Linked DNA regions of Mus musculus. The main gene of each other region encodes a partner of the protein of the gene in region 2 in a complex. Links are inferred from orthologs where the notes say so. Each region holds a gene or a part of one and is shown on either strand. Other genes may lie near its edges. The genes, in order: Myo7b and Cdhr2.

Region 1 (3,806 bases), on a different chromosome or scaffold from region 2:
GCAACCAACCACCAACCAGCAACCCATACCACCTCTTGAGAACCCAGCATTTATGTACCCTCTGAAAAGTCCCCAGAATTCCAAACGTCTCACAATTGCAGAAATTATCTGCAGCTGGCAAAATCACGCCCCTGATAAAGCATGAGGCAAGTCATAATCAGCGGCTGTGAATTGTTTAAAGCGGCCCCATGTCCTACACTTGGGATTAAAATGCAGACGTATTCTTATACAGTTTCTGTTTTTTCAAAGAAGCCGCAGATTCACCCTGCACTTGTGCTTGCTCCACTTATCCTGCTACTGCTGACTCGTGAGCCCCTCCTCATGTCTGTCCTTGAGTTCCACATCCACCTAAGCCAAGGTCTCAGGTTGAGAAGTAAAAGACTTGAGTTTTACCTGTTGGCGACCAGACCCATGACCTCTGCGAAGGACAACCCCAGCAGTGTCCTCTCCTTCTGATCCAGGAAGTACATCCCCTTCCAGTTAATGGCTAAAACCAGCTGCGTCTTGGGAAGGCGGGGACCTGGCCAGAAGGCAACCCCAGACTGAAGGCCATGCTGATCACCATGAGAACCCTGTCCTCCCCAACCACACAGCACCACATGCTCTTACCAGAGAGTGTGGTGACTTCAAATAGCCGGGAGAAGAGCAGGGGCCACAGAAGACGGGCAGCCTCCACTGTCTGCTCCCTCACCGCCAGTGGCGTGGCTTTCGACTGGGTATACTGGGCCTATATAGAGTGGAAAAGCCCGGGCTGCATATGGAAGGATGAAGGACAACCTCCAACATTGGCCCTCACCTTCCATCTTGATTGACAGATGGTCTCTCTCTCTGTCTCTGTCTCTCTCTGTGTCTCTGTGTCTCTGTCTCTGTCTCTGTCTCTGTCCCTTCTCTGTCTCTCTGTCTCTGTCTCTCTCTTATTTTTTGAGACAGGGTTTCTCTGTGTAGCCCCGGCTGTCCTGGAACTCATCCTGTAGACCAGGCTGGCCTCGAACTCAGAAATCTGCCTGCCTCTGGCCTCCCAAGTGCTGAGATTAAAGGCGTGCACCTCCGCTGCCCAGCATGACACATGGTCTCTTGTTGCTCACTATTGCTGTGCCAGGCTAGCTGGCTCCCAGGATTCTATCAATCCTCCTGTTCCTGCCTCCATCTCTCTGAAGGTACACATCGGGACTGCACAGGCGTGTGCTACCCCACCCAGCACTTCATGGGTTCTGGTGATTTGAACTCAGGGTGTCAGCCCTGCGCAGCAAGCTCTTTACCAACCAAGCCATCTCTACACTTCTCTCATCCTTATATTTCTTCCCTTTGCCTGGCTCGCCCTTTCCCTTCCTCACATGTCCCACATCCACTGGGCTGTGCCTAAAATGGCCTCAAGTTTTCTTTCTCTGTTGGACCAAATGCCATTTCTCATCTCTACATTCATGTGCTGACTTTAGGCATGGAAATGAACACAGCAGATATGAAGGGTGATTTGGCCATCTGCCACATGTACCAAACACTTAGGACGTGTACACGGTGACCTAAGATTTCCATGTGCCCACTGAGGGGACACTGAAAGGCTTGGAGGTGAGCATGAAGGGAAGAAATGATGAGCCTGTGCCAGGCCACAGAACTGTCAGAATTCAGCAGCTGTGGAGCCTCAGGCCCTGGAAAAAGGCCAGCTAGGTGCCGCTGGGCAGAGCAGTTTGGGACCAAGAGGCCTATGCAGAGGGAGGGCAGGTGACAGGAACCTGTGCTGATGTGCTGAGCTGAAGGAGACACTTTGTCCCTTGCATCAGGGATGTGCCTTTTAAGGCTTCCTGGTCCCTGGCACATGGGAGACTCATGGGGGAAGGGACCCATTCCTCTCATCACCCCTCAGAGTGGACCCAGAGTGCCCAGCCTGCCACAGACTGACCTTGGCATGGGCAGCGGTGACAAGGCTAGCCCACTTCTCTGGAGACTTGGTCCGGTACAGTTTGGAGGGAACACAGCTGGGCAACAGCTCCTGGACAGCGTTACTCTTCACCGTGGCCCCAAGCTGCACATAGCAGTGCCGGGCCAGCAGCTCCACAAGCTCCTCCTCCTGTGTGCCAGGGACAGCGGGAGCATAAGAGGGGTGAGTAAGGGCCCACAAGGTCTTCCCACGAGGCAGCTCCTGCCTCAGAGCAGTGGGGCTCACCAGCCTCTCACACAAGGAAGGAGGCAGGAGCAGCCTCCTGTCCTAACCTCTCCCCTACACTGCTGCTCTAGGAGGGGCAAAGTCCTCCCATGCCAAAAACACAGTGGCTGCCCCATTCAGGCAGACGGCTGAAATGGCTGTGGCTGTTAGGGTCCCAAGACACAGCCTCCTGATGTGGCATGTGGTGTTTGCACCTGGTGCCACATAGTCACAGAGCACCCTGTTGTTAGAGCTCTTTGTGCATCCCAGATGTGAGTGACCCCGAGGGTCCTCTTCTTCCTTCCCTTCTCATCTCCTCCCCTCTTCTTTCTCCATGTTCTTCCTCCTCTTTCCCCTCTTTTCCCTCCTTCTCCCTCCCCCCAACCCCTAGAATAAGCCTCATGTATCTCAGACTGGCCTCAAACTCCCTATATATCCAAGGATAACCTTAAACTTATGCTCTTCTTGCCTCCCAGTTGCTGGCATTACAGGGGTTCGCTACCAGGTTCAGTTTATACAGTACGAGGGATCGAACCCAGGCTATCATCATTCAGCTTCGAGGCTACATTCCTGATCCCCAGGATACACTGCTCTATGAGCAGCTGGTGTGGGAGGTCAGGGAGCCTGGGACAAGTAGGGGGGCCTTTTCTGCCTGATGCTGTGGGTGCCAAGGATCCCAGATGCCCAAGCAAACCTGCAACCCAGAGGAGGAAGAAGGCGGCCAGGCCTGGGAGAGATGTCTGTGCCCAGTGTTGGCTCCATGCCTGCACCCTTGTATCTACCTTTCCATCCATCCTTCCTCAGGCTCCTGTCTGCCACATTCTTTATTACTTCCATTGCCACGTAGCCCCTATACTGCAAAGCATCCTGATGGCCACAGTCTAGGAATGGGGCAACTCGCAGGGCTCCTCACCTTCTCAAAGTTATACTCGCCAGACCACACCCCACGGAGGACTTGGTGGTAAATGAGCTCAGTGCTCACAGGGTCCTCCTGGGAGTCATGCCAGGGGGTGAAGAACTCCTTCCGGAAGTAGATACGCCAGGGGGCCTGCCGCTGGCTCTCTCCCCTCTCTCGGGCCAGTTGCTCACACTGGGCCACAGCATCCATCAAATGGTCACAGCCGCTGCCCAAGGACCAGAACTGAGAATTGGGGGCAGGAGGGATTAACAGCTGCGATATGCCACGCCCCAACACAGACATCTATCCTTAACATCGTATGAGGAAGACAGGGACCATAGTGCCCTGTGTGGGCCAAGAAGCCACTCCTGAGTCCAGTCGGACACCAAAATGCTTCTTTCTTTCTCTTCATGTTTTGTGTGTGTGTGTGTGTGTGTGTGTGTGTGTGTGTGTGTGTGTGTTTGTGGAGGTCACAGGTGGATGGCAAATCTTCCCTAATTGCTTTCCATCTCTGTTTCCGAGATGGGATCTCTCATTGAACCTAGAACTCACTGATTTGGTTGGGTTTGCTGGTCAATGAGCCCTGAGACTCTCACATCTCCATTTGGGTAGTGCAGCAGCAAATGCCGCCATGCTTAGATTATTTACATGGTACTGGGGGATTGGTCTCAACTATCCATGCCACAGTATGTACTTTACCAGCTGAACTGTCTCCCCAGCTCGCAGAAGGTGTCCTGGTCTGTCCATCACCTCCTAAAATGCTTCCTA
Region 2 (4,294 bases):
GTGCCCCACACCTGCACACTCACATGCCACCCCTGTGAAGTCACTATCTCCTGGAAAGGGGAGATGGCTTACACATTCCTTTTTACCTATGGGGACCCTTACACCTCCAGGAAGCTGGGTCTTCTATCTAGCTGTCACAGGGTCATGCCTGACTCATACCTAGAACTCCTTTTGATCCTCCTTCCTATACTGTATGAGTTGACCCCGAGTTTCACAGTCTTGTCCCCTTTGTCACTGACTTTTCACAAACATACTCACTGACCATAATGAGGCCAAAGTTCTGCACTTGGCAGCAGCAGTATCTCCCAGACTCCATCACTTAAGAAAAATGTGTTATGAGATAGGAAAGTACCAGGTGACCAGCCTTACCTCTATAGGCACAGGCACTCTCAAGACCAGACCCGTGCAAGGCTCAGACTGGCTGTGGGCCATACTTCCCACCCTTGGCAAGACAAATTCTTAGGGGACCCAGGTTTCACCTTCCAAGAGTGGATCCCTTTTCCTCTGTGGTATCCAGTACACACACACACACAGTACACACACACACACACACACACACACACACACACACACACACCCTGCGTTCTCTTTACCCTAGATTTGCATGTGTCTCTTCAGCCCCAAAGGCCCTCTTGTGTCCCTTGCCCATGTGCAAATTCTCTCTGTCCTTCAAGACTCACAGCCAGAGCCGCTGAGCTCCAGTCAGGGAACATATGCTACAGGTCATATGGAAGAAGGGAGGCCATGTGCCCAGGCACTGGAGCTGGGCGAACGTCCCCTAGGTGCCCTTTTCTCCTATGGAGGACCACAAGTCAAACATAGGCTCATGTGAGACACCACTGATGCCAGCTCCCAACCACTCTACTTCTTTAAATGATGGGAAACTGGGCCTGGAGCCCAGCCAGTATCCCAGTGCTCAGCAGAGAGGAGGCCCTCTGGTTCTATATAAGGCTGAGCTGTATTGAGAGACCCGTAAAAGGAAAGAGAAGCAAGGAGGGAGGGAGAAGAAGATAGGGATAGTGGAGAAAGATGAAAGAAAGAACAGATCTAGAACCTAGAAATCCCAGGTCCTTGCTCCCAGGCTCCCAGCCCACTGGTTTGGGGCTGGACAGGAGGCTCTCTACCACAGAGAGCATGGTAGCTGTGAAGGACACACCCTGGAATGTGGAGATGGTCTGCTGGACTCTATCAATATGTTCAATTACTTTGTGTCAGTTAAAAACAAAACTGCACAGCTATTCACCTATAAAGTGTCTGAGGAAAAGTCAGGAGCATAGGGGCTCCAGATCACTCTACGGACCCCCAGACCCAGGTCATGCTCTGCCAGGCCTGACACAGCAGGGGTTTCCTCTCTCTTGTCTCAGCGGACACATTGGCCGCAGTTCGACAAGACTCCAGGAAACCAAAGACTCTACAATTCAGTCGACTGGATGTGAAGACCCCAGGACATCTTGGAAGGCTACAGAGGAAGGGAGCCCTCCCCTGCTAAAGGCTCAGCCACGGGCGGGCTCGCTAACCCCACAGCCACCCCACCCTGCCTCAGCCTCCACAGCTCCCTGAGCCCTTCCTTTCGCTTCTGCTTCCTTCCCACAGCTGCCTCACAGGAAGGAAGCAGCTACCTCACAGTTACTCTCCATTGCCCTAAGAAAACAGAGATCAGATCAGAGGGACAGTCAACAACAAAGATAGAAGGTCAATCACCAGCTGCAGGCAAGGCTAGACCCAGGTACCATTCTGCTGAGCCTAACAAAGGTCTCTCCTAATTCCACCAGCCCAGCCAAGTGATCCAGCTCCCCAAGATACGGACCCAGGGACCTTTAAGTTTCCAGGGATACCGGGCTTCCTGTAGCCAGAGATGGTGCCCGCCCTCCTGGCTGCTTCCTCTGAGAGACGGGTATGGATCAGGCCCCAAGTTAGGATTTTAGCATTTCACATACTGTCTGTCCAGCACTGGGCGAGCCTCCCTTGTCCTCAGCTTTGGTTTTCCTCTGAGGAATGAGGTGAGAGCAGGCTATGGCCTAGGCTGGTCAGGGGAATGTCATTATTCTCTGATATGCTACCTGGGACCAGTCAGCATGTAAGTCCTGTTTGAAGACACAAGCTGGCCTGGCTGAGTCTTTACCCTGTGACCAGGACAAGGACTAAGTTAGGGTTGGGACCAGCATCGTTAGTCCTCCCTGAGGTGACCTAGCGTTTGATCTCTGAGTCTGAGAGGGACAGCCTCCGTACCCTGCCATATCTGATTCACGAGCCCTCCAGGGGCTACTAGTACTGTGCCCACTCCACAGACGCAAAGACTGAGGCCCAAAAGCAGTCAGCAGCTCACTCAAAGTCTGCATGGAGCTGAATGAAGATCTGAGCCTGGCGGAGTGGAGCCAGCCTTTCCTCCTCAGGCTCCGGGACAGATTCAGCCATCTTCCTCATCTTCTCCTTTTAGGTAACAGATGAGGTAGCCAATTCACTTCTCAGGGACTTAGGAAGGCAAACAGGAGGTTGCCACTGCCTAGAGAGGAGATCTTACCCTACATTCTAGAAGAAACAGGCTTCACGGGTAGCTTCATCAATTCCCGCCCTCCCCATGACAAGTAGCTAACGCCACAGCTAGCTCTTCCCCTTGGTGTTCCCTCCATACTCCAGATGCCAGGAAACTGAGTCTGAAAGAACTCAAAGTTTGCCTCAATCCCAAGGACAGCCCCCCACCCAGGCTTACCCTCGGGCTAAGAGCCCCCCCAGAAGCAGCTGATCTGGACAGCCCCTGGAAGGGGCCCAGAGGCAGTGATGTACACCAGTCACAGGTGGGCGCCGTCTGGGGCCGGCAGAACACAGCGCAGACTTTGGCACCATCTCCACCTCTTCTGAGCAATCATTAACCATGCAGAGACCACACCTCCTCAGAAGGCACTGGCTGTGACCAGAGCAGGCAAAACCCTGGAGGAATAGGCAGGCCCAGTGACAGAGAAGGGGCAAATGCCCAGCCCAGGGTCTCACTGCAAGCAAGAGGTGGTGACAGTCAGAGGTCATGTCAGGACCTTCTGTCCTCTCCTGGCTCATCTTCAGTGGGGACCTGTAGAGAAAGCGGTGTGGGGAGATCTCTTGGGATGAAGAGACTTGACAGCTATCAAGCCCTTGAGCCCTCAGGCCAAGCCCCGAGGCCGGCATGAAGGGGTACCCACCCTGCAGTTCCAACAAGGCCTTTTCAGCCCTGTATTTGTCCCCTCTAAGCAGGACATCAAAGGGCAGGGCCAACACTGGGCATAGTGGCATATGTCCTTAATCCCAGCACTCAGAAGACAGAGGCAGGTGGATCCCTGTGAGTACCAGGCCTAGCTGGTCTCTATAACCAGTTTTAAACCAGACATAATAAGATGTTATCTCAAAGAAACAAAAACAAGCCAGGCAGTGGTGCCTTTGATCCCAGGACTTGGGAAGTAGAGGCAGGGAGATATCTGAGTTGAGGCCAACCTGGTCTACAGAGCTAGTCCCAGGGCAGCCAGGGCTAGACAGAGAAACCCCGTCTCAAAAAACAAATGAAAACAAAACAAACAAACAAACAAACAAACAAACAAACAAAATCAAAGGGCAGGATCACACACTGCCCCAGGGGCTCCACACACTCCCAGTGGTGGCCTCCCTCGGGGGAACAGGTCCCCAAGTTCATTTCATCTTACCTCATAGTAGGAAGGAGGCCCATGCTGCAGCTCACCAGCCGTGCGCCCCTTCCTGGCTGAGTGGCTGCTGTTCGCTCTGGAGACCGAGGCATCCCTGTGCAATCCTGGTGTGCTGCTGCGGGTTCTCAGGAAGCACCAATCTACCCAAAGAGCTCATGGTTCTGCAAGGTCCCATTGAAGGCTGGCCTCACGTCTCTGAGGAAGGAGGAGAATCTGTATTTGCTGAGCACCTAGTGTGGGCATGTATTTTTCACAACCTACTTCCATAAGGGTTCAACCTCCCCTCTAGCCCACCACCCACCAGAGGTAGTAGGAAAGTTTATTAGAATATGGGGAAGTGAGTGGGCATGTTAGCACATGCCTTTAATCCCAGCACTCGGGAGGCAGAGGCAGGTGGATTTCTGAGTTCAAGGCCAGCCTGCCTGGTCTACAGAGTGAGTTCCAGGACAGCCAGGGCTACACAGAGAAACCCTGTCTCAAAAAACAAAAAACAAACAAAAAAAAGGATATGGGGAAGTGGACCTTTTTTTGTTTTAGATTTATTTTTTTATTTTATGTATATGAATACACTGTAGCTGTCTTCAGACACACCAGAAGAGGGCATCAGATCCCATTATAGATGGTTG

What was found.
Region 1: Cdhr2 (region 2) and Myo7b share a complex: the UniProt entries of both Homo sapiens proteins name them as parts of the IMAC/intermicrovillar adhesion complex. The link is inferred for Mus musculus from reciprocal best matches to the Homo sapiens genes CDHR2 and MYO7B.

The regions. Positions count from the first base shown.
Region 1 is NC_000084.6:31,970,928-31,974,733, forward strand, and holds part of Myo7b (unconventional myosin-VIIb), read right to left. Parts: intron 3,282-3,806; coding exon 3,054-3,281; intron 2,066-3,053; coding exon 1,898-2,065; intron 728-1,897; coding exon 610-727; intron 521-609; coding exon 394-520; intron 1-393. UniProt on the Homo sapiens protein: Myosins are actin-based motor molecules with ATPase activity. Their highly divergent tails are presumed to bind to membranous compartments, which would be moved relative to actin filaments.
Region 2 is NC_000079.6:54,699,986-54,704,279, reverse strand, and holds the start of Cdhr2 (cadherin-related family member 2 precursor), read right to left. Parts: upstream 2,818-4,294; 5' UTR 2,711-2,817; intron 1-2,710. UniProt on the Homo sapiens protein: Intermicrovillar adhesion molecule that forms, via its extracellular domain, calcium-dependent heterophilic complexes with CDHR5 on adjacent microvilli. Thereby, controls the packing of microvilli at the apical membrane of epithelial cells.